3 linked regions of the Caenorhabditis elegans genome follow. The protein of the gene in region 2 interacts with the protein of the main gene of each other region in a pairwise test. Each region holds a gene or a part of one and is shown on either strand. Other genes may lie near its edges.

Region 1 (10,652 bases), on a different chromosome or scaffold from region 2:
AATTTGATCTTAAATTTAAGTTTACGAGCTTACCGTTGTTAAGAACTCCCAAAGCTTGATTCATCGCTTTCATTTGATGACTGAAGCCACAATCAAACGAGAAAGAGCTCATCTTTTTTGTAGAAGAATTAAGTGGCGGAAAATGATCAATTGGCACTTGGAAAATCATTTTTCTTGAAAATGTTGAAGAATAAAAGAATATAAAATTCTGCAGATTAATATTCTTCTATTCTTAGCCCATCTTTAATACTGGAATTTGGAACGAGTTTTGAAAAAATTTGACGGAACAGTGATGTAACTTGCCATAAGGACATAAGAAACGTCGTTAAACCATTCAAATAAATTGGATACGGTAATGGTCAATGCGAATCTGGGCGATTTTTGGAAACTCGATCAAAGATGATGAATTCAGGTTTTTGGGGCGTATAACATCAGCGTCAATTTCAGCAAAAATAAAATTATAAGGATTTGCGAAAATCATGAGTTTTGAATTTCAGATCATGTATAATGTCTGAGTAAAAACTTTTCACTTTGGCAGGAATGTTTCCAGGCAGCATAGTAATCAAGTTTACCATGCCACTCCTAAAACTCAAGCATATGCCGAATGTGAGCGGCCATTTCTTAACTCTGTTTATGTCGGCTGCATATGTGTTACTGAAGTATGTTATGGTTATGTATTCGAAGGCCGAACAAGGAGAGAAGACGAGTAGTTTATTACATTACTAAATTAAGGAATGATTAAGTTAGTTCATAGAGTTCACGTTGCACGATCTTCTTAGCCACGTCGTGGGTCAATACACGTTGATACCCAACAGTTATGACGTCATCAAAAAGGTCTCTGCGAGCACTTCACTTGGCAACTCATCAATCCTACATTACTTCAGTCAACTTATTGGCAAATTAATCAAAATCAAAAAAGGACGTGAGAATGAAAAGAAGATCTCCGAGAATCGCGGGAATTTAGACACAGACTTCTCAACTGATTTTGCATGGTTAAGAACGTGCTGACGTTACTTTTTCTGTGAAAAAAATTAGCGCATTGTTTGTAGATCAAACCGTAATGGGACAGTCTGACACCAAGTGCCCCACCTTGATCTCCCGAACTATAGCCGGCCCAATTGGCCATTTCATTTATTTGTTTAAATCATAATTTTCACGTTTCTTCCTCTTTCCGGTGTAACTCTTATCTTGACAAATAAGCATTAATATTATTTATCAAAAACACAAAACTAATACAAATTTCTTCCGTTTCTTCCTTAGTCATCAAGCTATTTTCTAACCCCCACGCCATGTCATTATGGAAAATGTCAATTTCCATAAGAATTTGAGCAGTTTTATGATTCACCTATTTTGTACGTTACAAGGCACATTCCAAATGAGCTAGCCTGCGTGATAAGTGATAAGGAGGCGGTTGATAACGCCCCGTTTTACCATTTTAAGTGTTTCAGACCGTTAATGTCGCTATACAACTATTATTTATTTAGATAATAGTGATTGGAACGGCTCAGTTTTTCTCATTTTTTAGTTTCAGTGTTTTATATTCAAATTAAAAATATTCAAGTTTTGTTTTTTTTTATTCAAAACTAATTTCTAGAATAAAAACGCCATGACTGACCCTCTCAACCCAACGCGTCTGCAAAATCATCCCGCTCTTGCAAGAATTATTGAAAGCGGGCGGACAAATTTGCCAACCGGAATAACTACCAGTGGAGCACTTTCTGCATATGCTCAAAATGCGGCTGCTATCATCAGAGACAATCGTGAAAGGGAGAAGGTTGAAATTGCAGATTTGAATAACCGATTGGCACGATATGTAGAGAAGGTTAGTTGAATTTTACTAGATTTTGAAACTGTGTAAGTGATAGGTTTATAATCATTGTTGTCCAAATAATTTTGGTATGGAGTGCGCCAAGTTTTTTAAATTTATTTTTATAATTAAATAAATTAATCCGGAAAACCTGAATAAAGTATCAAGTGCACACTGAGCCTTTACCAAAATATTAAATATTGTATAATATTCTGTTTGAACAAAACTATTTTTCAGGTGCGCTTCCTTGAAGCACAAAATCGAGTTCTTGAAAACGACATTGGTGTTTTCCGTAATGCAGCACACACACATTCGGAACGAATTGCTGTCTATTTTGAATCCGAAAAAGCCGTAAGTAATCATTTTTCTATTAAGCTTTAACTTTAAATTGCAGTCGCTTTTCACTTTGGTCCGTGAAAACAAAGCTAAGATCTCGACGGCTGAGCAAAATATCAGAAAACTGGAGCCAGATGTGATTTCTGCAAAGAAAAAGTTAGTTTTTTGTAAATTTACTATACAACTAGTTGTACATATAATTTCAGTTTGGAAAGCTCTTTCCAGCTGAGAGTTCAAACAAGAGAAGACAAAAGAAGTCAAATGAAAATTTTGTCAAACCTGGAGGCAGAGGTTAGTAGACACAATTTGTGTAAAATTAATACAAAAAATTATTTTTTTGACCTAGCAATAGTTCTGGTGCAACAGTAAAATTTCCATTTTTCAAATTGTTTTTTTGAGTTCTCCGATTTCTCAAATCCAACAATTTACAGAATTCTTACATCAAACGTCTCACAACTGACTGTGAAGAAGAAAAAAGCCGTGTCCACTCTGAAATTTCGCGTCTCCGAAGTGATATCAAACGAGTGCATGCACTGCGAGACAAAGAACGCAGCAAGCACTCAAGTTCGTCTCAAGAGTTATTGAAGCGTCTTAACGGGTGCATTTCACAACACGACATTGCCATTCGAGAGGAAATTAGCAAGGCTAGACGTGACACAACAAACAAGAACAGGGACTATTTCCACAATGAGCTGCACGCGGCGATGAAAGAGATTCGAGACCGATTCGAGAAGGATTCACGTGCCGCCAGAAAGACATGGGAGGATTGGTATCACAAAAAGATCACGGAAATCAAGAAGGGATCCGAAAGCTATAGCTCAATACAAAACCAGGCAAGAGAAGAGATTCTTCGAATTAGGTCGATTGTCAACGAGTTCCGAGGAAAGCTTTCAGATTCTGAAACTATCGTGAGTTTGGGAGTTTGGGATCATTTGTTGAAACGTTATTGAATTCAGAATCAACAACTTATCAAACGAATCGACGACTTGCACTTCCAAGACAAGGAAAATCTAAGATTGTTCGAAATTGCACTCAATGAAAAAGAAAATCTAGTAATTAAAATGAGAGAGGAATGCACAAAACTTTCAGTGGAACTTGACAAATTAGTAGAGAACCAGATCGTATGTTCAAAATTTAAAGTTTTAAATTCACAAATTTGTAAATTCCTTAATAATTTCCAGAACTTGCGAAACGAAATCAACCATTACCGCAAACTAATGGAAAACGCTGAGCACCTCCGTACCACAGTTCAAACCCACGTGACCTATAATGCTCCACCGCCACCCTTGCCACAGTCAGGCCCTAGAACAACTTCCTACCACGCCTATGGTTCGGCATACAACGATTCCTTATTGTAACAACTTCGATTGTCATGTTTTTGTTAATTTTGAGTATTGTAATTTCACAATTTCAAACCACCCATGTTCAAATGTACGGCTTGAACTTGCAAAAGTTTGAAGAATTTATTTTTCTCAATTTTCATGTTATTTATATGTTTTATGAATTAACGAATAAAATGTTTTATTTTACTTTCTATGTAACCATTAATCGGATGAAGGTGGGGTGTTCAGTTTACCAATGTAGATCAAAAATAATTCAAAAAAATTTTTTTTGGTACTCTTTCCCTTTTTGTTTCTGAAACCTGATTATGAAGAAGATGTAGGCTTGATGATGGTTGAAAAAAGTGACGTCACTGGGGCAGGGTTTTCTACACTTTTTTCGAAACGCAAAAGCCTTTTTAGTTGTTCTTTATATAGCAGCTCTGGTGTTTTTTTTTTCTAGCAGGCGTATGTGATTTGAAGTTCCTCTTTGATCACTTTGAAATGTAATAATGTACTGATAAACTGTACACGTGAGGTCTTATGTATTTTGTTTGTTTGGCCACACTATACTAGGCAACAAAATTCCAGTTTCCGCTTTTTCTGACTATAAATCATTGGTTGGCAACTCAATATGCATTTTCTGCATTTCTGAAATTATTATAAATGCAATTTCTCAAAAAAAAAAACGGTTTTTTTATATTTTTAAATTTTGAAGTTTTGAACAGTATGAATTCTGAATTTAGTAGCAAATGCATTTTAAACTGTTCAAATTATTAGATATCACTTCCTGTTCTAGTTTTTTTTCAAAGTCTCATTTAGCCTACACTGTTGCGTCGTTATTGTTTTGTTCGTCATCTCCACTCAATGATTTTCTCCCCAAACTTCTGCGTCTCTCAAAACATGTTTTCGCGTACACAGTTGAAAATTTGAACTATTATTTTCAATTTTCAGATTGATCATGGCAAAACCGAAAGCACCAACCGAGGTATGTTAGGGTTTGTTTCAATTGCAATTTGAAAGATTTTTAGGGAACTCCTTTGTGCAACGTGGAGCATATCGAGTTTGAGTCAAGAGCAAATGATATAAAAGCAGGGCTCATTGATACTTTTCTGAATCTACAGAGAATCGATACCAATCTGTACATGTAAGTGTTGGAAAAATGATGTATTTTCAAATTTTGCTCAACAACATTTTGATTGGTGCTCGGAGACAGCTCAAACATTTTTCGGAACAGTCACTACAAAAATATCCTTAAAAGTGTAAAAAGTGTTCAGGCATGTGCATTATTAATAAAGTCTTTGACTCTGCTTATAATATATTTTTGAATGATGTGACATCACACGTCGCACAATTCCTGACTCGATCATCACAAAACATGAGAACATTAGATTTTCTTGCAGCGCTCGCCACTTGTTGAAGGGTCGTCATTCCTACAATGCCGTTTATGGCGGTCAGGTAAGAAAACTCAAATTTTCAATATAAACTTCCAAATCCTATATATCAGTTCCCACCGATCATCCTCAAATATTTAGGTTGTTGGTCAATCGTTGGCGGCAGCAGCTGCCACCGTGGAAGATTGTTTCATACCTCACTCATTACATAGCTATTTCATCAAGACGGGTCAGTTGATAACAGAAGACGGCAACTGTTGTGTTGTGTGTTTCAGGGAGTGTGGACAAACCGATTCTTTACATGATCGACCGCATTCGAGACGGAAGAAGTTTTTGTACGCGAGTGGTGAAGGCTGTGCAGGATGGAGAGGCAATTTTTTCTTGCCAAATTAGTTTCCATCATGTATGCTGGGGAAATGGAACAGAGAATAAAAAAAGAGATACTTTTCAGAAAGAACCCGATGCAATTAAACATAGCTCCAAAATGCCGGAAGTAACACCTCCAGAACAATTGCTTGTAGGTTGCTTCAAAACAATCAAGTTTTTCCATGCAGGCACCAAAACGCCTGCCACGCGCTTTCTGTATAGTGCCGCGACGGAAGAACCACCTTTGGCACTATTTGGTGCAAACATGAAGCCTTTGATTGTTCGCCATGGCGTAAAAATAAGGCGAGAGGCCGGCGTGAGGCGGGCAGGTTAGAGGCAGGCGTCACGTCCTGAAAACAGGCCCACCTCCCATGGAAGCTTGAAATATAACTAAAAAATATAATAACATTACACTGCAATTCTAGGTTTACTTTCCATTATTATATATTTTCCAGCCAGCTCGAGAAGCAGCGCTGGAAGTGCTCCGCACGAAAGAAGTCGATGAAGTCACCGCTGGTGTCATCCAACATTTTTTGAAAGAAATTCCAGATGCTTTTGAGCGAGTTTTTGATGTTCGCCCGGTCAACCCAGCCAAGTACTTGCTTAAAGAAGATACTGAGCCAATGTCGATGATTTGGATTCGAGCAAGAGAGAATTTGGGTTAGAAGTTCAAAATAATTCGTTTTCAATACTATGATTCAGGAGATGATCACCGTCTCCATCAGTGCGTCGCTGCTTACCTCACCGACTTGAGCATGCTCACCACGGCAGTACGACCTCATATCAGAAACGGATTCATCCCTTCAATGTCTTTTTCCCTGGATCATTGTATTTGGATGCATGAAAATGAGTTTCGAATCGATGATTGGATGCTGTATGAGACAATTAGCTCAAAAGCTGGTATAAAATTCTGTAAAATATTTTTTAAGAAATGGCGTTAAATTCTAGGTGGAAGTCGTGCATTTATTGAAGGCCGTTTATGGTCTCGTGATGGTCGACTTATCATTTCGACTGCTCAAGAAGCACTTGTCAGAGCTCCAAAAGTTTGACAATATTTGAATATTTTGTTTGGTTGTGTATATATATTCAATTTTGATAACTATAAAATGAATAAATGTTTAGAATTTTGAAAAGTAAGTACCAAGTTACTTAACAATAAATTAGTACCATCACCAGAAAGCCTGCATCTAAGATTCGAAGCTTTCAAGAAATCCGCGTTAGCGTAGTAAAACAATTTAGGAAAAAAAATACTAGCAGAAAACTGTTTCCCTAGTTTGAGAAGTTTCAGGACTGTGGTCTCGTTATGGTCTATTTATTGTCATTAAAAAATAAACATTTGTCATATAATTGAGCTCTATGAGCTCCCCATTTTGTTTTTTTAAATAAAGCCCGATCAATAATAAATGTACCAGAGATGTATTTGATACTCGCAGAGACATGTCCGATCGGTTGATAAATCGTTCTCCCTAAATTCCCCCACATCTCTGTTCCCCTCATGTTTTTTTGCATTCTTTACTGCACTTTTTGACATCCCTCACCCATCCCAGCTCCCCAAATTTTCATTCCTGTCTTTTCGACATGAACATCGTTACTTTCCTACTTTTCGGAATATTTCCACTTTCAGCTGCAATTTCTCCAATTAACCTGGAGAATTGTAATCCGGGAAGTTATTTTGTGGAAAACTATATCAAGTACCAATGCTATCAAAGTGGAAGTGTAAAGGGTTACAATATTGCTGGTGGGTTTTGAATTAGAAAATTAAAAAGAAAAAAAAATAAATTTTTAGGATGCCAACCATCGAATGATCTCACCGGTGTCACTTTGCAACAGTGGGAGACCCACAACGAAAAATGGTTCAAGTATCACTGTGTAATTGATGGAACTAATGCTCAGTACTCTGTGAAGAGTAAGTCAGGAGATTTTTGTTTGTTAGTCATGTACCCCTGTTTAAAATTTTGGCTAACTGGTAATCTAATACACAAAACGCAGTTACATAACTTTGCAGCCTGCCTCGACCCCGTAGGAGAAGTTCTACCAGTCGGAAAAACCCGCTCGTTCCCAGATGGAGAAACATTTACATGCTTCATAGAACGCAACAAGGTCAAGCTGAATCACCAAACAAGTGAGCAATACATGATTTATCATGCGATTGTGCCAGCTAACTATGTCATCGTTCGACCAAATGGTGATGTTGAAATCTAATGCATCCATCTGTTGTAATTTTTCAATTATTCCCATTGTATGATCCCTAATAATCTTTTTTATCACTACATATATGGCAAACTTTTGTAATTGTTTAATTTTTAACAATGAAGATGAATTATCAGATTTGTAAAATTGTTCTCAACATTTCAGCTGCTGGATGTCAAGTCGGCGATCAAGTTTATGGAGATAGAGCTACATGGATTGATAGACGAGAAGATGTTATCATTGTGAGTGAATGTCAAAAATCTATTTAGTTGTATTTCTTCTAACAGTTTCAAATTATGTTTTTTAGCGCATATGTTGATTCAATGTTTTGATATGCGTAAGTGAATACTAAGGATAGGTAAAGATGTAAACAACCGGTACAAAATATTTGGTAGTAACACTTTGGGGTAGATTCAAAGACAATTGGCGTGTAAGCTATTAACTTTGATCAACTGGATTTTGGATCAAACGTGATTCAAGTTCTTCATAATTTTTTTTGCAAATTTGATCCAGTTTCCAAATTCCATTTAACTCAGATTGGCTCAGAGAACAAAGTTGTTGGAAAGGGATCTACCATGCAATGCAAAAAATCGGAAAATGGCTCATTTGTTGTAGAAGTTGCAGGTTGCACTTAAAAAGATACGTATTAACCAACTTTACAACTTTAATTCCAGCCTGCTTAACTGCAGAGAACACATACATTCGACCAGAAGATTTCGGAACTGTAGACGATGCAGTTGTCAAATGTGCAATGGTTGAGGGGAAGTGTGTGCTGAGAAAAGCTGAAGTCACTGGTAAATCGTAAATGAAAATTTACAACTTTTGTTACGGTTTTTCTATTAGAACTCGGATGCAGACACAATGGAAAAGTATACAGGCACAATGAGGAATGGAACTCGGAAGATGGTGCCACGGTTTATGCATGCCAATTCGGGAAAGTGGAGAAAGAAGGATGCCTTGTTGGAAATTACCTTATTCCATTGTATGCAATTCGCTACGTTGATGGAAACGCTTTTTATTGTTTTCAAGGAACACAAGTTCGATCATTCGGAGATTTGAGTGAGTTTGCATAACATATTTAGTAGGGTATTCGGGTTATCGCACAAGAAAAAAACATAAATTATGTTGTAAGGTGACATATTAATGTGCATAGTCATAAGGAAATTAATAAAAAAAATACCAATGAGCTACCGACCGTTTTGTGGCTAGGCATAGAGGCTAAAATGCTACACACAAGAACTCACCCTACACTGCACAAGCGGGGTAGACATATCACATAGAACAGACTATATACAGGTTGGAACTCGATAATGATTTTATGTCGGTAATCACTTTAAAACGTGGTTATTTTCTGTATTTTTATTTCAATACAAATACATTTCGCTTTATACGACGTTGGTTTTATGAATCTAACTATATTGAAAAATAGGAAATTTCATTAAAAGAATCTACCGAGTTATTGAAAATGATTGGTAATAATTATAAAACCAAAATCTTTAACTTTGAGAGGGCTGCACAACAACATCCGGCGATATCATCCAATTTGAAAATCGTGCTAGAAACGGAGACCGCCTGGAATCCTGTGGGTTTAGCATTAATCGAGATGGAACTGTCGAGTTTAAGTGGACACAAGTCGGGTGTATTTATTCAAAGGAAATGATAACGGTAAATGCAATTCAACAATTTGGAGACCAATACGTGCATTGTGCTTTGAATGGAACTGCTGGGTATATCGTAAAAATGATGACAAGAGAAGAAGTGGAGAAGTGGTTGACAGCGACTAAACAGCAGTGGAGCAATATTGTTTCAGGTATTTTATGAGATGAAATTGTTATTTTAGAGCCAGAAAAAAGTTTAGAATTTATAATTGATTGGTGTCCGAATTTTGGAAGTTTTCACTGTAGATCCAAAATAAATTTTTTTGGAAAAAAGTGACATAGCTTACCTGATTCTAATGAGTTTTTTCAGTGGGATTATTTTTGGTCTAACATGTACTACTCTTAATCTCGGACATCGATAGTGTTTTTTGGTAGAGCAGTGTAAGTGTCCCTTGTAAAGTTTTTGAAAAAAAAAACATTATTCATTCATGCGCACAAAAATGATTATCAAAAAAACTTCCACCGGCAAATATTCAGGGAAAGATGGAAAGGGAAATTCTGTAAAACGAGAAGTTCCAACAACACCTCTACCTACAACTACCACCACTACTACCACAACTCCTAAGCCAACAACCACTACAACAACCACTACAACTCCAGCACCAACTACTACTCAAAAACCAACTACTACCACAACTACCCCAGCCCCAACTACAACCAGCACTACTTCAATTCCAACTACCATTGCAACGACAACTGCTGCTCCTTTGAAGAAGTGCACCGATTTTGTGGAAGATTGTGACAAGTTAAGAATCTATTGCCATACGGAGGCAGAAAATGCAAAGTTTTTGAAAGAAGCAGTGAAGAAGTTCTCGACGAATCCGAAAAATAGATCGAGAATGTTGGAATTCATAGATCATGTTTTGTAAGTTCTTTCAACAAAAAACTGTTAACAATAGCATTTCCAATTTGGTTTTGGTAAGAAAAGGAAGTAGTCAAAATTTTTTGTAATTAACCGTTTTGCAAAAGAATAACATCCGATCAAAAACGATTTGAATTTTTTTTTCAAGATAAATTTAAATAATTTCAGCTTGGAAGAACAAGAACCTGCACACCAGAAAGAACAAAACAAAGAACAGGATTGCCCAATAAACTCGAAATCTTGTGAAAAGTGCTCTCACTCCAAGTGTGAAAAATGTGCAAAACACCCTCATCACCATTGTAAATGTGAAGATCAGAAAGAGTTTAATAGAAAAATTGTGAGAGCGTTGTGCCCAAAAACGTGCGATATTTGCAACGAAACACGTAAGTTTATTTTTATTCAAAATCAAATTTAATTAAAATATGATCATTTTCCAGATCCATCGGTTTCAACGATTTTGTCAACTAGAATTTCTGGAGCTTGCCTGAAACCACAGTGTGAAATTTAATTTAATCTTTGATGTGGGATGTTTTGTAGACTTTAATTTAAAGTAATGGATCATAAATAGTTTTTTTTTCGCATAAAAATTTTGCAAAATATTTTTTAATACCTTGAAGCTGTACAGTTTAAGCCAAGAAAAAAAGTTCAAAATGTTTTATTTTACAACTGAAGTGAGTGTACGTTTGTGATGAAAAAATATAATTCCTTTTTTTTCAAATC
Region 2 (11,208 bases):
AAAACACGAAAATTCGAAGAAATAAATCAAATTACCTTGTATGAAGTGAGAGTGTGACCTCTCAAAAAGCAACATAGTATTAAACCAGAAAGTATTGGGAAAGTGCGAATAAAAAAAGGCAGCCGACAGTCTAATACCGTTCTTCTCGCGCAACTCTCTAATCTGCCGAGCAGAGATGAGCCGGGAGAGAGGTGTTTTATGAGGGGTTGGCTGGGAGGCGTCTGTGCACCGGACCTTTTAGGTGGCCAGAATGTTTACAATCAAGAGAAAAAAGGGGGAAGGGCCGACCTCCTTGAACGATTTACCGCCAATTTTCCTTGGTCTCTATCGTATCTCAATATCTAGCAGGCAATCTCTTTGAGCATCTGATTGAAAGAAGACAGCGGCGGCCAATTTTATGGTTATGTTGTGTTCGATCTAGCTATCGAGTACTACTATTGCTACTACTTGATCTAACTTTAACAGCCAATACTCTGTTTTTATAGCTTTCGAATTGCACGAGTAGGATGGCGGGGCGACCGAGTTCTTGGTTTTTAGAACGGGACGAGAGAATTTGGAACACATGGAACTGCTTATTGTAAATCTGATAGATTTATTGAATTGGAATAGGGATCACGTGTTACTTCAGAGAAAAAACTTATGGAGTAAAGCAAAAACAAGTCATCAGGTCGAATCTCATGTCACAGATTTGTATTTTCAAATAATGTCGATGCTTGATGCGTTTTATAGAAAGTACATAGCAAATAGATATGTACATACAGTGGTTGCCAAAAGTATATGCGTTTTTGGTTTTTTGCAAATTCTTCATAATTTTCAAATGAGTATAACTCACAAACTAAGCACTTTGGAGAGAAAAGTTTAACTGATAAACTGTTGTTTAGAATCTTGTCTTCATGTTAACACATAAACAAACATTTCAAAAAATTCAGGTCAAGAGATACAGCGGGCGATACCTCGCGAGTCCATTTTTGGCTTTTTCTCTTGAAACGCCTGTAGCTCGAGAATGAGAAGTTTTAGTAATAAAAATCTTTTAAAAAAAAATAAATAAAATATAATATAAAATAGATTATATATATATATAATCTGCAAATATTTTTCTATCACATGCAGTTAGTTGTTTTTCAATCAAACAATCTGTAGAATAGAACTGTAAGTATAAACACGCGGAGTACCAGCACTCGTCGGGAACAATTTGTAAAAATGGTGGTTAAATTTTTCTAATACTTGCTTTTTAGTTGAAATGTAAATAAAATTCAACTATACAATTAGTTAGTCAAAATATATAAACAGAAATATATTTTTGAAAAACATGTCCTGGTTTTTAAACAGTTGGTCAAATCGGTGCTTTGAGAAGCGCGTGTTTAAACTTACAGCTCTATTCTGCCGGTTGTTCGATTAAAAAACGACTATATGCATGTGATAGAGAAATATTTGCATATTATTTTATTACTAAAACTTTTCTCATGAAAACTTCTCATTCTCGAGCTACAGGCGTTTCAAGAGAAATAGCCAAAAATGGACTCGCGAGGTGTCTCCCGCTGTATCTCTTGACCTGAATTTTTTGAAATGTTGGATCATGTGTTAACATGAAGACAAGATTCTAAGCAACAGTTTATCAGTTAAACTTTTCTCTCCAAAGTGCTTAGTTTGTGAGTTATACTCATTTGAAAATTATGAAGAATTAGCAAAAAACCAAAAACGCATATACTTTTGGCAACCACTGTACATATATTGATTGAGTTGTGGATATTTCAGTTAGTATATATTGTATTTCCTATAATAGTCTTGCATATCATCAATGTTGGCAGCTTATACTATCTTTGGATTTATCAAAAGTTTGTTAACTGACAAAATATGTTGAAAAAATTTTATGCTCGTAGTTTTTTCTAGCTTACATCATTACTACTATGGCTGAGTATTATGACCGACCGCAATTTAAAACAAAATGACTACAGGGTTTGTAAATAAAATGACTACAGGGTTTGTAAAAAAATGACTACAGGGTTTGTAAAAAAGCGTACCACCACTTAAATTATTCAAAAAACTGTCCAAATAACCTCAAAACCTTAATTAAAATGTTTCTTCTAAAGAAAAACGGAAACAATGTCGAATGAAATGAAAGAGGGTAACAAAAATATGTGACAACCGGGTGTCTTCTTGCTCCACGCCAAGAGCTTCTCACCGAGAAACAAGAAGAACTGAGAAATGAGAAATGATTGATCATGGTTTCCTCGTGTCACTTTTTTTTTATTTTTCAGTGGCCCTTGGTTAAACCTATGAGAAACTACTTACAAATCTAAAATACTTGATTAACCAGTAATTAAACAAATGCCAAAGAAACCGAACAATTAGCACCATGTCGGTGTAAATATTTAAGTTAGAAGGTAGGATTTTCGCACTTAATCAAAAACATGTGACCTTATTTTCAGAAATTCCAAAACAATCGAAAATATATCTGAAATAATGAATACATTAAATCGGTCTTCTGCTTGCTTGTGATATACTTTCAATTTTGGTTATTTCGTAAAAATACTTAAATTATCAAACATCTATTATCAGAAATGGGTTATATAGACATCAATATATATGAAAAATCTTAAACGCGGGGGTATAGTGCTTAAAAAATCGTTTAACAAAAACATTTTAATTAATTTTAATGTACAAGTGTTAAGAAAAATCCCAAATGTGAAACTGGCCGCGAAATTTTCAAAAATCTTGAAAAAAGAAAACTATATTCCTTGAAGTGGTGGCTTCCGTAAACTAACGATGATAATGATGGGAGAAGATATCGATGCGAACGAGCGTAAAAAAAATGCGGGCGGCTCGTAAATCAGATCTCAGTCGATTAATCTTCTTTACCCACATCCCGAAGATTTTTTCAAACTCACTTGTTGTGGAAGCTGGTGATGCTGTTCTTGAGGAATTCGGACCCAAGAATATCACAGTTTCAGCTGCACTTAGCTCTGATCCGGATTCTAATTCAAATCTTCGTTGTGTTCTAGGAGTGCCTCCCGGTGTGATTGTAGTTGTTCCACATGATGAAGAATTTGATTCCATTGTTCCAGTTGACATTGTCTGAAATTAGAATTTCAATTTTTTTAAATAAAAAAAAATATCTGAATGTTAAAAATGAAGAAAAAATGCGGAAGAAGTGCCGGTTGTTTTTTCTTTGTAAATATACAATATACAAGAATTCATACAAAGAGGATCAAATTTCGATTATGGTATTATGTTTGCGGCAGCGATATTAATATTTAGGTTATGCTAGAGGTGGACCGGATTTTACCGTAAAGTGAGACCGAGGAAAAAGGTCAAAGAATGATAAAAAGTAGCCTACAAAATCGTAGTTTTCTATTAAAAAAATATCTTTGCACAGTACTTCCCCAAATTCAACCAGATCAAATACTGAGCGCTAGGAATTTTTTGAGAGTGCCGTGAGAGAAAATAAAATGTAGGAATATTGTAAGAATATTTAACTAGTAGTAGGAATATTTTCTTCAAAATACGAAAGAATACAATGTTCCAAAAACTTGTATACTTTTGAAATTTGCAGTGAAATTTTCGGTAAGTTGGCAAACAGTTGTCAAATGTCAAGCTTTTGGATAAATTCTCAGAATTGTTGTATTTTTGAAATATTGCCATTCTTAAATTTAAAATAGTTTTCAAAAACCTTTATTATGCGAGCAGTAATAAATTATCTGAACTGATGTTTTCAAACTCACCCCTGATGACTTCCTTCCATGTCCAACCATACTCTTTGCTCGAGTCCTTGCGATTTTACAAGCCAAATGTGCAATGTTCTCGTTATCGTCACTCTTGGCACCAAATGAAAAAACGAACGTCGTGAATCTTGACGTACTCAATGCACATCGGATGAGTTGACACACTGACGAGTCCCTGTAAAAAAGGAAAAATTTCATTTTAACATCTTCTACTTTGACACATTCTAACACTTGTCAAACTTTCAATTCCCTAAGAACCACTGCTCTATTTCTGCAGAAGCGGCAGCAATTTGTTATTTATTCTCTCGGTACGAAGAATTCAAAAAGAAGGAAAAGGAGGATAGTCAAAAGAAAAATAAAATTCATTTCGTTCCCAAGGGAGCATGCCCAAGCAACTTTTGAAGGCGGTGACCGGAAACGCAAGATTCACCGACAAAAGCATATGGATTGATTAATTGGTCATTTCTTATGCAAAAAGTTGGACAAATTTTGAATATTTAAACTTTTCGAGTTGAAATATTACAACTACTTGCAATAAAACAATTGAGATGTTTTTTTTTTTCATTGTCCACCTTCCTGTTCTCATTACTCTTACAATCCCCCGATTTTTATATTCATCATTCCCCTTCCCCTGCTTTCTCTTTTTTTCATTGAAAATGTCATCACTTCACCGCCTCTTCCTGTCTCTACCAAAAACATCAGGAGGTACCATCTCTCAACAGTGAAATAAAAAAAGACACCAATTCATCTAATCCCTCGTGTGGCTCGTGGGCGGCTCTTCTCTTTGATGTGTCCTGAAGGATCCATGTTGGAAGAGCGCGGCGCCCCTCTCCTACACACCTCCTACTTCTTCCGCGCGCGCAAATAACGATCCATCGACAACTGGTTCAATAAAAAGTGGTAATAAATAAATGGGTGACTAGACAATCTTCTCTTAATCTTTCCGCCGGTAAATGAAGGTTGATTGAGATGAAGTAGAGGGCATAATGAACAAAATTGGGGGAGGACCGCAGAATATGTGTGAAACTCTGATGGATCTTCCTTATACTAGAAGCTAGTAAAAATTGACTACTTGAGTGCCTACAAGGCAGACGTGACGCCAAATTAGAACGCTCCATTTAAATATGGGGATGAAACAGTGACTGGTGATTAACTTCTAGGATTTTTAAATCAATTGTTTCTCACATTGCTCTAAACTTTTCTCGAAAAATTAAAATTCACCAAAACTGTGTTTTTTGGTAATAAATAATAAAAGTGAGTAGATTGTAACAAAATTCTCACGAGTCCTCCTACTTTAATTGAATATTCAGGGTTTTATGAACGCTGTATTTCCAGATTTCTCCAGGTACACTTTTGATTTGCAGACCAATTTTTTAAAAAAATATTTCTTCAAAATACTCACCTTGATGGAATATGTTTATTTCTTTGAACCATTGCCAAAAGAATACTCCCTAATGCTGGCATTGTCATTCCTCCATTTGTTGAATTTCTCTCACCAATTCCCATATCCAAGAAACAAAGTCGACGACGTCCTCCTTGCATTTTGTCACCCATTTTATACGAATACAAGCTTAGTGATATGAACACGTGGCTTGTTCGATGGGTATGCTCGTCTTCTGAAACTTGTGTATAAGACATTTAGATCATGTTTCAACTCACGAATCATTCGATGATCCACTGCAGTATTCAAATAAAATAATGCCTGATCAATGGTCTCGACACGAATTTCACTCTCATTATCGATAAATACTCCTGTTCGAGCATCATCCACTATTTTAACCACTCGGTGACGTGGATCTGGATTGAATGGACTTAACAAATCGACTATTGAAGATTCATTTTGTGACACCATAATTGCAGACATTCGAACTTGTATTCGTTCTTCCGAATCTCTGGAAATAGGAAATTTAATGGAAATATAGAACATTGAAACCTACTTGTTATCATCAAGGGCATTCATTAATTGAGTGATGGCCATTTGAACCAACCCGTTTCTTGAAACGCTGTTCCCGTAGAGACGTTCGTCTTTTCCTGAACATTTCTAGTATTCGATGAGTTTCAAAAACATTCTTAATGTAATCGTAAATAGTATCTCCATTAGAAATGGAGGAAAAATTGAAAATTGTATAAGTTCTTCAAATTTGAAAACGTTACTCTCCAAAATAATTACTCACCATTAGTTTTAGCTCCCATTGCTAAAACTGTTGCATCATTTCCAGCGAATACTGAATTTATTGTATCCGATAGAAATGCCGTATACATATCATCCTGTGTAGCATCTGTTCTAAAGATATGATCAAATGTCGTTTTCGAATAGTTCTTTCCTTCGATTTGCAAGTGTTGATCAGTGAGACTGCACCGACCATGTGCAACATCTTCACTGCTTATACTGGCACATAGTCGAAGCTGAAAAATGTGTTAATCTCAATCTGTGAATACTAGAAATGTTTGCCAAAAAATTAGCAAACAAATAATTCAACAAAAAGCTTACTTTCGGAATCGTTCGCAACGGCGAATGAAGAAGCAGCGAGGTCTTACTGCTGCATGCCTCCATTCATAAGGTCTGAAAATATTCATTCTAATCCGCAATTCGGGAAGGAACGGGCAACGGAAATCAAAGAAAAAACCAAAGAAAAAGCAAAAAGAATGTCGCGGGAAAAATTTGCGAGGGAGGAAAGGGTCAGTCCTGATAAAAGACGGACAAACCGTTATCATCAAAGTGTGTATGTGTGTGCCCATATAAGCGTGTCTGCATAAATAATCAAAAGAGGTAGATGAGTCTTTTCATGTTACCGACGAACACCTATTGAGTAAAATGAGGTGGAATGTGGGAAAACGGAAAGTGTTGCTGGCACGGAGCCAACTTTTTGAAAATTGTGAAACAGACCACAACTGATTACACAAAAAATTATGATAAAGCTCTATAAATCTTCTCTTTTCTGCTTAAACTGTAGTACAACGCTCCAAATAATTACTCAATAAGATGAGATATACAAGTGAAAGAAAAATTGAAAGAAGTAGTAAATTTACTCTTTCGCGAAGAATTTTCAGCTCGTTGAAATGTTACTTCGTATGTGCAATTGACATTCTTTAAAACCACCGGAAACCAAAAAAAACATAAAAATTCTACGAAACAGTCTGACAATAGAGTAAATGATATCATCAGTTTTCCACCAAAAAGTACCAAAAAGGGAACATTTGAAAAGAAGACCATTTCCCGCCAAAAAGTGAGTCAACACTGCATCGGAAAATGGAGAACTCTCTGACGCCCTGGCGATGGGGATGAACGATACGTACAAACCCATTCATTGTGGGAACTTTTTTTTTTGAATTAAAGCAAATGGGTAGAGTGAATATTATAAGGTCTTGCCTTTTGGATATTTAAATATAGTTTTGGTTTTATGTCCCTGGACGGGGTCAAGTTCCAAAAGTCATTAAAGTACCACGTGAACAAACCGCCTGGTATTTATAAAAGAATTATTGTCGATCTGTGAATTGCACATTTCCCAATTCAAAAGTCTAGACAGTTTAGGTAAACATTTTTGGTATCGAAAAACAGAAATGTATAACATGAAAAATTCTATCAAAAACTGTCAACTAAAAAAGACTAAAACTAATAATCATAATTTTTTTTTCAAAAATATCAGTAATTTTCTGAAAAGAAAGCAAATCGAAATTGAAAGTGAGAAGAAAGAATAGTGGTAATTTGACCTCCCCTAGGAATGAATTGAGTTGAGAAGAAAAGTAGTGAAAAGATTTTTGAGACGAGTGATGGGCGTGAAACAGGGGAAAGAATAGAAAAATAGTGCAACACATTTTTTTGAAACAAAATTTAATAAAAGAGTAAAACACAGAAACTACAGTTGGATGTATCAGGTGAGGAACGGGTATCATAGAAAAATAGTGATTACTGTAAGTATACTCCAGGAGATACTAATTTTTAGATTATTCATTGCGAAAATTGATATTTTCAAACAAATAAACAACTATGAAATTTTATCTATCATGTCAGGCAAAAAAACCGTTAAAACAAATGACCAGAAACTAGGAAAACAAGAGCTCTTATAGATGAAAAAATCATTTTGCATTATTTCTCGTGGTTCGGGAAACTAAACAGGTATACATTTTTTAAAAATTAAATCTAATGGAAACATAAGAAAATACAAAATTCAGTCATCTGGAGAATCCAAAGGAAGTGATCACATCTGTTGAGCACATTTCCTTCTTTTTTCAAACATCCGGTCACTGGTAGAATCTTTGAAACTTTTTGGAGTTTTAAGGTCAAAGTTTGAGATTATAACTTACAAGACTGTAGGTACAAGCCACATATCAAGAGTGACACAACAAAAACAACAACAACACTAAAAATAAGAAAACCGAAAAAAGTGGGCGGAGTCTCCGTTCATCTTTACGCAACACATGAAAGAAAAGAAAATAGAAAAGATGAGTAAAATGTATAGAAAGAGTTGGTTTCCTTTTCTTCTTTCTATCCACATCTTCTTTAGAAGGGTGGAGTCTTGAAGAAAGAGAGATAGACACATATGTCTTTTGGCCCAATTCCAATGGTCCCTTAATGCAATAGAGTGAGAAACGGGACGTGGGACGTGTCCACGGGACAACTGAGAGGACAACTATGGCGCAATCAGCTGCCCCGGGAAAGGAGGAATTGTACAAATGTTTGAGTAAAGAACGAGTGGACACAAAATGGGTGGGAGGAGGAAGAAGGAGGGCGAAGACTTGATTAGGGAAATGAGCAAAAAGGATTGGAAGGTCCAAATACTATAGTGCTTCCTAATTGTAAAGGGTAACTCTATGAGCAATTATGTTCCTCTAAAAATATAGGTTATAGAAATACAAAACACCTGCGGAAACAAAATTATAGATTCAGACAATTGTCGTATTGCTCTAAAACATTCAAAATGTACGGTCATAATGAGGCATCTAAAAAATTCATGAGGTTCAACAATTTTGAAGGAAAACTAAAACTTCTGTTCAATTACTACACTTCATTCAAATTTTGATAATTTTTTACTTTAGGTTTTTTTTCCAAAAATTTGAATTTAAAAAAAAAGATTCCATTATGAAAGTTGCCCTTTTAGAGCAATTTCGAAAGTTTTCGCAATACCAGTTTCAAAACGGTCTAAAACATCGCAGAGTGCTCTAATAATAGAGAGTGAACATCGAAGTAATATTTGAAAACATCTAATCTCTTGTTCGGACTTCCTCTTCGGTTTGAATGTAGTAATTTGACACTGAGCCATCTAATCCTGCATCCTCCCGTGGCCACCCTCCTCTCGTCGTCAAAAATCACTATATTTCATGACATATGTGCCAATTGACTGTCACGCAGTCTACGAGAAGAGTTCGAGAAATCGAGAGACATAGAAATTAAGAGGGCGCATTAATGTGCCAAGTAATTTCGAGATTCTGAGCAGCATAAGGATCCAGCAGTTAAGATTCTTATCAAATGATTCGATTGTAGTCAGAAAATTTTTATGGGTAGTAACAAATTAGATAACGAATTAGACAATTAGAGCTTGCAAATCTTGGATCTAAAAATGATGAATTTTATGTCAATTCAGAGAAGAAAAGGCGAATAGTCTATAATCAAACAGAAACAATAATGTTAGTTTTGGGTTTCAATGCATGATTGTGGCTAATAAGGAAAAGATGGAAACCACCATGATGATGATGATCCATGTGGTGGTTAATCACATTTCTCAATAGTGAACTCTAAATTTGGAACTCAAGAATTCAAAACGAACCAACGCAGTGAGGCAACAAAATTGAGTTATAGTGTGAGGAGCTCGTCCATTGGAATGATTCCCTTTTGGTAATATACTAAATTTGAAACTTTTCAGGGTTTATGCATTGCCGCTCTAGAAAAATATTTGCAATGCTTTCTAAAACTTTTGAGCAATAGAAAACTGAGTATTAATAAACAATTCAGAACTCAAAAATGTCAGGATATAAAGCCAATAGTAATTTGACGGATAACTTGCGAACAAAAACTTTGAAAAACTGGCCAGTTCTCTATTTTCCATTTTCCTGTTAATTAGTATTCGATACCTCAACCCGCTCATGGTGGTCACACAAAAAAGGGATGAGATTATGATCTTCAGGGACGCCAAGAAAACGAAAATTTGTGTGAAACCGAGAATGGCATCTGAAGAAAAGGTGAGAAAAAAACAGTTCATCACAAATCATCGTCAACGCGAAAAAGGTTTTGAACGGCGGGAAGATGAATAAATTGGAGAGCGGTATGACGAAAGAAGCCAGGAGGAAGTGCAAATACTAGTTGATGTACAGGTGAATAAATTTTGAAAAGAGAATGACAATGAGCTAACAGTAGTCAAATAGTGTGAAAACACGTGTACAAATGAATATTAATTAAATTTGAAATTATAAGGGTTATATTTTTTGGGGTGAGAAACTTGGTGAATTTATGTTCATAAGTATATAAAGTTGAGTACAAAAAATTTTAAATTGTCATTTTCTGTAAATTCTGAAGTGAGAACTTGCTAGGAATACAAAACCTTTTCACTAATTAAAAAGAACGCCTACAGATATCAAAATGAAATTAAACAGATGAAATAGAAAGTGAGAAGTCTCTTTTTTTCGGTTTTCCATTCATTTTGCCAGCCTCCCACCCATGCTTCTCCTCCCAGTCTTGATTTATATCTTATTGTAAAAAGAAGTCGAATCTCATCCCTCCTGAAAGAATGATTCCACAATTATCAAGAGCCAACACACGTGGTGTTATTTTATCAAAGATTGGGATTTACTGATTCCACTTGTCAATTGAAAATTCAAAGTTCAAAATAATAAAAATCAGAAAAAAAACAATAATTGGATGCTCCACCTTGTGGGTACTTGTGCGGGAACAGGTGTCGAGAGTGTTGCGAAGACTTTAGTTTTCTTGCAGAAAATGATGAGAGGAAATCGGAAAAGAAAGACTATGAGACAACAAGTGTACGAAATTTGCCAATGATTGATTGATGGTTCTAGGTGTGAAGTGAATTGAAAAAAGTTCCACGTTTTGTTTGTGAGGGTTAAGCTTAAAAATCAATTTGATATCAAATAAATCCTATTTAATTGACACCTGGCTGCAACTGATAACCTCCGTTTGATAAGAAGATTAGACAACAAAAACTAGATTATGTTAGGCAAGAGAAAACGGTTTTCATGGTAGAGTTTCCAAAAATTGTTATATAGAAGTATCCTATAAAAGGCATGAAAACAGTGGAAAATTATTTGGATTACTGAGTACGTGGGCACGTAACATGTTTTTGTATCTTTGCAAAAAGTATGATTCGAATCATTTTTAGCTCTTGAATAAAATTTTTAAATATAAAATGTTCAGGATGTTTTTGGAATTTTTTTGTATAAGTCATATGGAAAGTTATATGTACAACATTTTTAGATTTAATAACATTTTGATTTTAAAAACTCTAGTTAATTACTGCAGTTAGTTAATTCCAATCAA
Region 3 (9,900 bases), on a different chromosome or scaffold from region 2:
TCATGTCAACTGGAAGTGCCTCAGTCAGGAATTCTTGTTCGATGGCCACAGCGTCCTTGATGATATCGTAGATGCGTTGTTGAGTGAGTTTCTTTTGAAGCTTTGAGTAGAGAAGACAGGCGAAATCACGATGAAGTCCTTCGTCTCTGCAAAAATTATCAAATTACATTAAAATTATTTAAATCTCGTAATAATAATAATTACCTCGAGATGAGCTCATTGGAATGTGTCAATCCTGGCATCAATCCACGCTTCTTCAGCCAGAAGATCGAAGCGAATGATCCACTGAAGAAGATTCCCTCAACAGCTGCGAAAGCAATGAGTCTTTCAGCGAACGAAGCCTTCTTGTCCGAAATCCAGCGAAGAGCCCAGTCAGCCTTCTTCTTGATGAACTCGAACTCATCAACGGCGTTGAAAAGAGTGTTTCGTTCCGTCTCATCACGAATATAAGTCTCAATCAGCTTCGAGTACATCTCTGAATGAATGTTCTCAATGGCAATCTGGAATCCGTAGAAAAACCGTGCTTCTGAGACTTGAACTTCGTTCGAGAATCGTTCGCACTGAAAATTTAATCGTTAATTTGAATCATTATTGAGATATCAAATAAAACATACCAAGTTCTCATTGACAATTCCGTCCGATGCGGCAAAGAAGGCAAGGATCCGAGAAATGAAGTATTGCTCGTCACCATTCATCTTCTCCCAATCGTTCATATCCTTTCCAAGATCGACTTCTTCGACTGTCCAGAATGATGCAACTGCCTTTTTGTAGAAGTTCCAGATGTCATGATGTTTCAGTGGGAAGATGACGAATCGATTATCCAAATCTTGAAGCATCGGCTCGTCGGCATCCAGCTCATTCACCTCCGACTCATTATTTGTTTCCTCAGCTGAAGCAGCCTTGGTCTGATCGACAATCTCCAATTTCTCCAGTTCTTTCTCCAACTTCAGCTTGTTCGATGAGTGTTTCGGCTGTAAATTCGAAGGCATACGTAATGAGTATACTGGAAAAGTCGTAGAATTGTGCACATTTTGTGCAAAAGCACCAGATTTCGCGCCTCTTCGCGGACTTTACACTAAATACTTACCACTGATGCTCCTGCGTTCTCCTTCTCGACATTCTGAATCTCGGTGAGGGTCATTTTAGTAGATATACGCGGATAGTGCTTGCGATCCTGAAAAGTTTAAAATAAAATGAAAATAGTGTGCAAATGAAGAAAACAATTGATAGAGAAGAGGAAACATTAAAAATGGCCAGCTGAACACTATTCAGGTCACACAAGTCACCACCTAGGACCGGCGACTGTGACAGACTGAGACAAGGAATGACCAGCACCAAAGGTTTTAACGAAGGCGGAGCTTTTGACGTCATGGTGAACTATGGGTGAAGGGCGGGAAATGCTGACGTCACAGACGGTCCTGTGTTCAGTTTTGCACGGAAAATCGTATGCCGGCAGGAGGTCAATTGTGACGTAGGCATGGTCAATGATGGGAGCAGATGATGCAAATAAATGGGTGAGAAATTAGAATAGGGCTCTTGCACTGAATTTTGAATGAATTCCTTATCAAAAATATATTGTTTTTGCGAGGCTTACTGATAAAAAAGTGACCAATGGAGTGACCGAACGATTTTTTTTTGTTGGAAAAACATTCAATTTATATATTGAAAAAGAATCTATAAATGTGTTGAAAAGCCGGAAAGCAGCTATTCAATTTCAAAAACCTAAAGTTATTTAATTAAAAATGGTGATTGAAAAGATTTAACAAGAAAAAGACAAATGAGTGCACTTCCAGTGCACACAAGACGAAGCGAATGAGAAATGAAATGAGTGAATGAACGAAATCAGCGGGCGCAATAGAGGTTTCGCGCCAATTGTTCGAATTCAAATTTTGGCGCGCGTTTTGAAAGAAATGACGGAGACACAGAGAAAATTTACAGGTCTGATGAATATTGTCCGACTGATAAAGATTTAGTGTCTGGCGGAAAAACGGTAAAGAATATAACCTCCTAACTATAGTTTCGCAACAAAATATTTTGTATTTTCTCGAAAAACTTATTTTTGACGGGAACGAAGCCTATTGAAATACTGGAAAACTATCTTTAGGTTTTGGGCCATAAATTTGGATGAATATCGTGATGAGACCAACCAATTATGGCGGAAATTCAAATTCTACAATATTTTGGTGGTTGCCTAGTAGCTTTAGATCCACGTTTTATTGAAAAATGTACGGAGAGTTTCCATTGGAAACCAGCAAACCAGACAAAAAAGCTTCTCCATTTTTACTTTACATCAAATTATGGCGTCAGATCGTCGATTTTCTGTAACTCTGTCCGAGGATGATCTACGTCCGCATTTAAGGAAGCCAAGTAGGTTTAGAGTCTGAGAAATATTGTCATAGGTGCCTGAAAATTCTCCCAGAACCACTCAAGCCACCTAAACCACAACAATCAAGTGAAATTGAAGAACTGATTAGAAGAAATGAGAAGCGGGAAGAGGCGAAGAAAGAGGTAAAACGTCGTATTGAAGAAGAGGAAAAAGCGAAGGAACAGAGGAAGAGAGATGAAGAAATTCGTAGAGAAACTCATGAATTGTTGGTTATTAGGGAATTGAGCAATAATCGGAATGATATAGAAATGCCTGTAATCTCTTCAATTAAGTGAAACAATAATATGACACAAATATTTTTAGAGCATTCCAAAGCTTGGCCGGCGTGTGAACAATTTTCAGTATTTTAAATGGGATTCTGATGAAGAAATTCCAATTATTCCAGAAGAAAGAAGACCCGCTTCGGTTAGCAGGTGAGAAATTGAATTGTTAAATAAAAGAAAAATCATGAAAATTTTGAAATTGACAATTTTGTGCATTCTACCGTCGCGGTGTATGCGTACTTGACACTATATATGACGCGCAAGTTGCAAGTCAACGAAATTTCGATTTTTTTTAACGTCTCAAAATTTCAAAAAATTACAATTTTTCAACAATCTATTTCACCCTCAGATTGCCACCAGCGACAAGGGCATCCACTCTTTGTGAGCTATGCACATTGGCTTCACGATTGCTTGATAAATCCAGTGCTCCGACAAGAAGTGCAGCGTGTGCACACGTAGATGCTTTTGTGGGCACTTCATCGTCTTCTCATTATCACAATTTTTAATGTTTCAAGAAAATTGTTATTAAGCACCAGACGAACACAAAATAAAGAGATACATAGAGAAAATGAGGAGCAAAGAGAAAGGGGATTGAAACCCGTAAAAATACATTTTTGGTGAAGTTGATTGGGTGTGGAACGTGAGTACAAGTGAGATCGAGATTTCGAAACTTCGTGAAAAATCTAATATTACACGTGGAAAATTGAGAAGAAAGGGTGTGGCTCAGAGTATCAAGAGCTGTCGGATTCTGCATCACTCGAAGGAGCCAAACTGCTTTGCGAGGAACGCTCCTGATGAATTTGATCGCTGATCTGCTCTAAAGCTCGCATCGAATCACTGTAGCTGTCTTTTCGTTCTTGTACCTGGAAATTAAAAATTATTTTAATCTATATACAGTTTTATTCTTATTAGTTCTTACTTCATGCTCCAAAATTGACATTAACTCAAGTTGAGAATTCATTGTTCGCGTCAGAACTTCTTTTCGTTCGTAATAGGGCCGGGATTTTTTGATGGCAGATCTGAAATTCGGAAAATATATTGTCAGAAAATTGCCTGATGCCTGAAACTCACCCATTTTCCTCTAAACATTTCCTTAAAGCCATTTCCAACTGTAACAAATCCCTGACACGTGATGCATGACACTTTTCAGCTTTTAAACATTCTCCCTCAGCTTCTTTAACCAATTCCAACTGTTGCTCAATCACATCAACATATTGTTTCTCTGCATCCAATTCTTGATTGTTATTCAATGAATTATGCAGTATTTGCACTTGTTCTCTTGCCATTTCAACTGAAGTTTTTTGTCGTTCAAATTGAGCTGCCGCTTGTTGAACACATCTTCTGATTTCCGATTCGCGGCTTTTCAAATCGAAAAATTGACGGGATTTTGATATGTGTTTGGCCAACTTTTTAGGGATTCCAAGCATTTCTTTGTTGAACATTAGTTGGGTTTCACTGAAAATATATAAGATTATTTTAGCATCAAAACCAGATTTGGTACGATTTTTTGCGAATTAATTGGTTAAGAATGACTAGTGCAATAAAAGGTTTCCAGTTTTAGACGTGTAGCGATTAAGCAATTATTTTAAAATAAAAAATGAATTAAAACTCACCAAAACTGTTTCTTGACAGTTTCCAACTTCATCTCATAACTGTTGATGTCATCTGTTGCATTATTTAAATTTTCAAGTTGTTTGCGAATCGATATTAATTGATCGTCCCCTTCCGTCATTTTTAATGTTTTATTGATTCTGAAATCGAATTGTTCGAACGAAAATTACTAGAAATGAAGAGAATATGAGGAGAAAAGATGAGAAAATAAATTTTTTAAAATTAAATTTGCAAATTTTAACGTGAGGCAAAACTGTGCATTTTTACGTGATGGTGTTTGCAGATCGTAATTTGAAATTAATGGCGGGAGTTTTTCAGAAATTATCAATTCGACTTACAAAAATGGCTAAAATGAATGAAATTTGGACAATTTTCTCAATTTTAGTTGTTCAGGGTTAATAGCAAAAATCAGCTGCAAAAATGGCCCTCGACATGACATTTTTGTTGAAAACAAATGGGTGTGCGCCTTTAAAGAGTACTGTAATTTCAGTATTCATTGATTTTTCATAGTTTTTGGTTGAAAATAAATTTACTTATTAAATAATATTACTTTATTAATAATTAAGATAATAAAATTCAAAATTATTCGATTTAATAAATTGTGAGATCAACTATGAAAAATCAATTAAAATCTGATCAGAGAGCAACGAAAGCTTTAAATTACAGTATCCTTTAAAGGCGCACCCCCGTTTGTAAATCTCAGAAATTGCCTTTTCGCGGCCAGGTACCGTATTTTCAGGGCAAAAATCTCAAAATTTTGCGTCTGGGTAATATTCGAACCTCATAATTTTTTGAGAATTTCGAACTTGAAACCATTCTAGAACAAAGAAAACGAGGAAACGGAGAGTAGAACTATTTCAGATACGGTTTTCATCGGTTTTTTGGGTTTGAAGGCCGTGCAAACGACAAGCGGGGGTAGGAAAAGTGTGGGGGACGACGGAGAAGAGAGAAACAGAGACGGACGGTCGGGATGGACAGTGTGAATAGATTGTGGAGGGCAAATGGGCCAATTATACCGAAGGGGAAATATATTGAGGGGCACACAATTGTGGACTGTTATATGAGCAAAATTGGTGGAAGGTGGGGGAAGAGTTGAGTCGCCTCAGTCCTCAAGAAGTACTTTTTTGAAACATATTTTTTTAAAATTTTTTTGGGGCGATACCCCTCAACTGCAAAATTCCGATTAATTGCAACATTTCTATTTTTAAAATAAGAGAATGTCTATTGGGAAGTGGAGCAATCCACGACTGGATTATCGGCCACAGTCCCCGGCTAGGACGTGGCTTAAAATTACAGCCCAGAGGATCACCACCAGGCAGTGTACCTGAATCCCAGATCCGCAGTGCATAGCACTTGAAGAACCGATCGTCCTTTAATCCTTTAATCCTTTAATCTAAAAATAATTTTTCTTCAGTCTGACAAAAAACATTTTTAGAAAATTTTCAGGTTTTGTCAAATGATAAAACGATTTCGCTGATAGTTTTCAATTCATCTAATAATTGAATCGAAAATCGGAAAAACGCGCAAATTTCAAAGCAAAATGATGCTTCCGGGTCTCGACGCGAGTGAAACTTTTCAGCTACAGTACCCATGAGTACGGTAGATGATGATTTTCTTGAAATTTCGTTTTTTCCAAGCATATTTGACGGGATTTCGATAAAAAATATAATTTTTACATCAAGAATATCAAAAGAATTGAAAATTACAACAAAAAATAAAGGGTACGGTAGCGGAAAATTTTCATTCGTGACAGGAGCCAATGTGGCAATTTTACTTGACAAATAGCGAATAATAGCTTTTATGAGTGCTATCTGAAGAAGTCTAGGCGCGTGAGCTTTAATAGGATTTGCGGGAAAAACATCAGGGAGGTGTCGAAAAAACGGGGACAGTTTTTGTGGTCGTAGGGGTGTGTGGGGGACGACAGGTTGTGGATGACGTTGTCTTTTTCATCTTCTTCTTCTTCCGATGAAGAATAAGTGAGAAAATTAGAGAAATAGACAGATACTGATCTATTTTCTCTTTTCTATCTTTCTCTCTCTCTCTATCTCTTTTCCCTATGACCAGGAGAAATTGATGATTTCAAAGGAGAAGAAAGTACGAAGTTGTCAAATTTTTAGTGGGTGTCGTCGGACATGTGATCACACTTTTCATAAAAAATATTTCAGTTCCGTATAAACGAGAGAAGTCAAACAAACTCTGATAACAGGTTCCATGTGATTTTAGAAAATTGGGGTAGGATGAGTGGGGAGGTGATGGATGTGTTCTCGTCTTGGACTTTTCCAATCACATGTTCAATTACATATGTTCCAAATAATCTGAAAAACTTGATACTTTTGACTATTCGTCATAGGCTTAGGCTTAGGCGTAGGCCGAAGCTTAGGATTAGGCTTAGGCTTAATCTTAGATTATGCTTAGGCTAAGGCTTTGGCTTATGATTACGCGCAGGCTTGTTGGGCTTTGGCTTGAGCTTAGGCTCTGCTGCCTGTATCCTTTATCCTCCTCTCTCCGCCAGTACACAAGAAATTGTGGTAACTCAAGTTCCCGATTTGAGGTGCAATTTTTGATATTAAAAACGCTAAACTATTATGATTCAATTTTTCTAATAATTCTGTGATTCAACTAAAAAATTGCGCAACAATAAAATTCGTGTGATGTGTTTCGTCGTTGTTAACATATGTAAGTGGCAAAGGATAACGATAAAATGATAAATTGTGTCAGCGAAATAAAATCGAGTTTTTTTTCTGCAAGAAACCAAAGAACCTACGAGATAATCTTTAAAGTTATAAATAAAAGTATCATATACTGTTCAAACTTTAGAACTATTGAGATAGGAATTCATTATAGAGAGGTACGCAGGCCTAAAGGTAGGCGTGTAGGTGCCTACGTTCACAGCCTTGTTCTGTGGAAAAACCTAAAATAATTGGAAACTGATTAAAATAGTTTCGAGTGATCAATTGTGTGAAATGAACCTCGAATCTTCAAAGTAAAGAGTTTACTTTTCTCTATCTCTCTTTCAAAATCTTCATCAATTTGAAAAGCCAACAAAACAAACTAGTTGGAATGGCAGCACAAGGTATTTCGATCGAACCAATAGAAAAGCAAACCGAAACAAAAAAAAAACCACAAATTTTCTTTTTGAAGTCTCCTAATCCGTCAAAGGACAGGAGGCTGAGGGATAGGATTAGACAAGAGATTCGAGAGAAACAAAAAGTCTTGAGAAGGATACACAACAGGATTCGAGGAATTGTAAATGACAAAGTTTCGGAAGAAATGGGATTTTGTTTCGAGACACTTTGTTGGGTTCACAATCACACATTCATTGGAGGAGAAGTGGGGTTTGTTAAATACGAGAAAAGAAACGTGAAGACCGGAAAACAACAATGTTTCAATGTTCAAGTACTGTCATGTGATGGGGAAGCTTTTAAAAATGAATAATGATTCATATTTATATTTTTTGATGATGTTTTCTGTTTCATGAAAATATCGTTATTAGATCAATTTTGAACATTGTTTCATTCAAATGAAAATAGGAGGTTAGGTTACGATTTTCAAAGAATCAAAAATAATTCTAGTTTCTAAGAAGTTTAAAACAAGATTTGGAAAATTCTAATAAGTCAAGTTAAGTTAGGTATATTATGATATGAGTTCATAAAGTTTTTTTTAATTGCCGATTTTTGATACATGATTCTTTTTTTTTTCGCATATCTAGTACTTTTTTGCGACGTTTTTATACTTTCAATGGTCGCAATTGTTCTGAAAAATTTATTTGAAAAATTCCAGAAAATCTCAAAAAAAAAACTGGAACCAAATGAATATTTTTAAAAATTTAACCGATCTTTTATTGAATTTTATAGATTTTCGTACGATAAAAAGTTTAAATTTATATAACTTTAATTGAAATTAGTACCAAAAAAATTCCATAAATTATTTGACCAGACAGATTATTTGGAAAGTATGCTCTGTGTGTATTTCGTTCTGAAAAACTTTTACATGGCGGGACTCACCAAATATAAGGTGTGCTTGTTTAAGTTTGGAACTTCTTTTTCAAGACCAGCCAATAAATTTGAATTCAAAAAAAACTATTTCAAAAATTCAAAAAACCGAGTAAGGTAAGAACCCAAAAAAACTAGAAGATTAAAAATCTGAAACTACCAAAGTTAGACAAAGTGAGAAATTTTTAGTGTAACATCAACAATCGCATAGAAGATAAGAATCCGACGGAAAGAGATGAAGAGAAAAGAATGGTTTTCTCGAGACTATAAATTCAGAATTGTAGATCTTAAACAGAGATTATTTAAAGCTGAAAGTGAGAGAACTGACATGTTACGTCATTTGGTGAATTGAATGGAAATACGAAATAATGTATGCGGTTTTATATTAAAAAAATATTGGTCAGAAGTCATTGGAATTTGAAATGAAACGTTTTGAACAAGAATGGATTTGAAAAAAAAACAGAAACAAATTCAGGTGGGAGCCAATTTCCAACTGTCTTGTGATTCATGTGACAGTTTTTTTTAATCCAAATTCAAATGATTTTGAGAGGCTATGGTCTAGAACTTCGAGGGAAAATTATTTAAAACCGTTCATATGATGCAAAATGTTTTATTAAATTTTTTAACTTTACAGTCGAAAAATTTGAATTGATCACAATTCGTTCACACCTACCATTATTCCTGAAATCGACAAAAACATATTTTTCCTCGGAATTTTGAAGTTTGTATTAATTTTGCAGAAGGAAATTTAAAGCGGGGTGATAAAAAGTGTCTAAATTAAAATATTGCCAACTTTTTGTCGCAGCAGCTGAGAAATTTCTTTCCACTGAATCATTACTTTATTTTGCATAAAATTTCCAAGTTGAAAATGGTTCAAAAAATATATATTCAGGGCGCAGAGAAGGCAATGGGAAGGGCGGTTGAGAGACGACTCAGACACAATTCAAACTGATGGAATTTTTACCTAGAAGTCTATAGATGAGAATGCCCTTTTGTTATCTGCAAATTCCACGAAAATTTGGCATTTCTGAGGAAAATTATGAATGCTTGCTAACTAGGAAAATAACATTTTGGAACGAAAAACACATTTAACGAATATATTTTCTCAAAAAAGTAGTTTTACTGAGTTGATAGACCATGACGACTTGGATTTCAGATAACGTCTTAATCACAGGCAGCTTCTATTTTCAGTTAACGAATAGTGAAAGTGAGAGAATACCTCCACGACGTTTCCCATTCCTTGAGAATTTGGAAGACATCAAAATTGTGAATATTCTGAATAATATATCAGTCATCATCTTTCTTCTCATTCCTCTCATCTCTCTCTTCCACCAATTTTGCATACTCTAACTCAATTATGCGTTCGCTTCTCATCTAGAGAGCATCCCTCATTTCTTCTCCGTTTCTCTTTCAAATTAAAATTCATTTATTTTTATTTTCCTAAAACGATACTTGCTACAATTGTTTAAGTTTTAAACACACCGATTACTAAAAAAATCATTTTGATGTTTTTTTGTGAAAATAAAAAAAAAATTGTGAATGATTTTATCAAAATCAAGTTTGCAAAAATGTTTATATAGTTTCGTCATTTTTGCGCTTTCCGGGTTTATTAATTGAATTTGCTATATTTTTTGTTTTATGTTTATAT

What was found.
Region 1: the proteins of vab-8 (region 2) and F25E2.3 interact in a two-hybrid assay, tested with the Caenorhabditis elegans proteins (one large-scale study listed by BioGRID).
Region 3: the proteins of vab-8 (region 2) and rei-1 interact in a two-hybrid assay, tested with the Caenorhabditis elegans proteins (one large-scale study listed by BioGRID).

What each region holds. Positions count from the first base shown.
Region 1 is NC_003284.9:806,872-817,523, reverse strand, and holds F25E2.3 (Acyl-CoA thioesterase II), read left to right. Parts: upstream 1-4,406; 5' UTR 4,407-4,423; coding exon 4,424-4,450; intron 4,451-4,493; coding exon 4,494-4,609; intron 4,610-4,865; coding exon 4,866-4,920; intron 4,921-4,997; coding exon 4,998-5,085; intron 5,086-5,131; coding exon 5,132-5,259; intron 5,260-5,307; coding exon 5,308-5,373; intron 5,374-5,677; coding exon 5,678-5,882; intron 5,883-5,924; coding exon 5,925-6,122; intron 6,123-6,170; coding exon 6,171-6,271; 3' UTR 6,272-6,351; downstream 6,352-10,652. Other genes in the region: Intermediate filament protein ifd-2, read left to right, coding at 1,607-1,822, 2,045-2,158, 2,202-2,299, 2,350-2,434, 2,575-3,051, 3,100-3,264, 3,325-3,501; F25E2.2 (Abnormal cell migration protein 18-like fibronectin type I domain-containing protein), read left to right, coding at 6,801-6,960, 7,009-7,128, 7,228-7,344, 7,578-7,654, 7,949-8,036, 8,087-8,206, 8,256-8,471, 8,920-9,222 and 3 more.
Region 2 is NC_003283.11:12,208,404-12,219,611, reverse strand, and holds the start of vab-8 (Kinesin-like protein vab-8), read right to left. Parts: upstream 6,286-11,208; 5' UTR 6,277-6,285; coding exon 6,214-6,276; intron 6,129-6,213; coding exon 5,897-6,128; intron 5,754-5,896; coding exon 5,660-5,753; intron 5,615-5,659; coding exon 5,382-5,614; intron 5,339-5,381; coding exon 5,125-5,338; intron 4,809-5,124; exon of another isoform or gene 4,696-4,808; intron 4,635-4,695; exon of another isoform or gene 4,491-4,634; intron 3,898-4,490; coding exon 3,723-3,897; intron 3,076-3,722; coding exon 2,889-3,075; intron 1-2,888.
Region 3 is NC_003281.10:4,093,748-4,103,647, forward strand, and holds rei-1 (Guanine nucleotide exchange factor rei-1), read right to left. Parts: upstream 4,444-9,900; 5' UTR 4,382-4,443; coding exon 4,263-4,381; intron 4,105-4,262; coding exon 3,721-4,104; intron 3,669-3,720; coding exon 3,569-3,668; intron 3,513-3,568; coding exon 3,381-3,512; 3' UTR 3,156-3,380; downstream 1-3,155. Other genes in the region: rnr-2 (Ribonucleoside-diphosphate reductase small chain), read right to left, coding at 1-146, 205-560, 615-971, 1,088-1,141; C03C10.7 (uncharacterized protein), read left to right, coding at 2,298-2,367, 2,420-2,640, 2,690-2,799, 2,999-3,155. UniProt on the Caenorhabditis elegans protein: Guanine nucleotide exchange factor for Rab GTPase Rab-11.1. Spatially and temporally regulates the distribution of Rab-11.1 to target membranes during embryogenesis. Plays a role in cytokinesis, probably by targeting rab-11.1 to the cleavage furrows.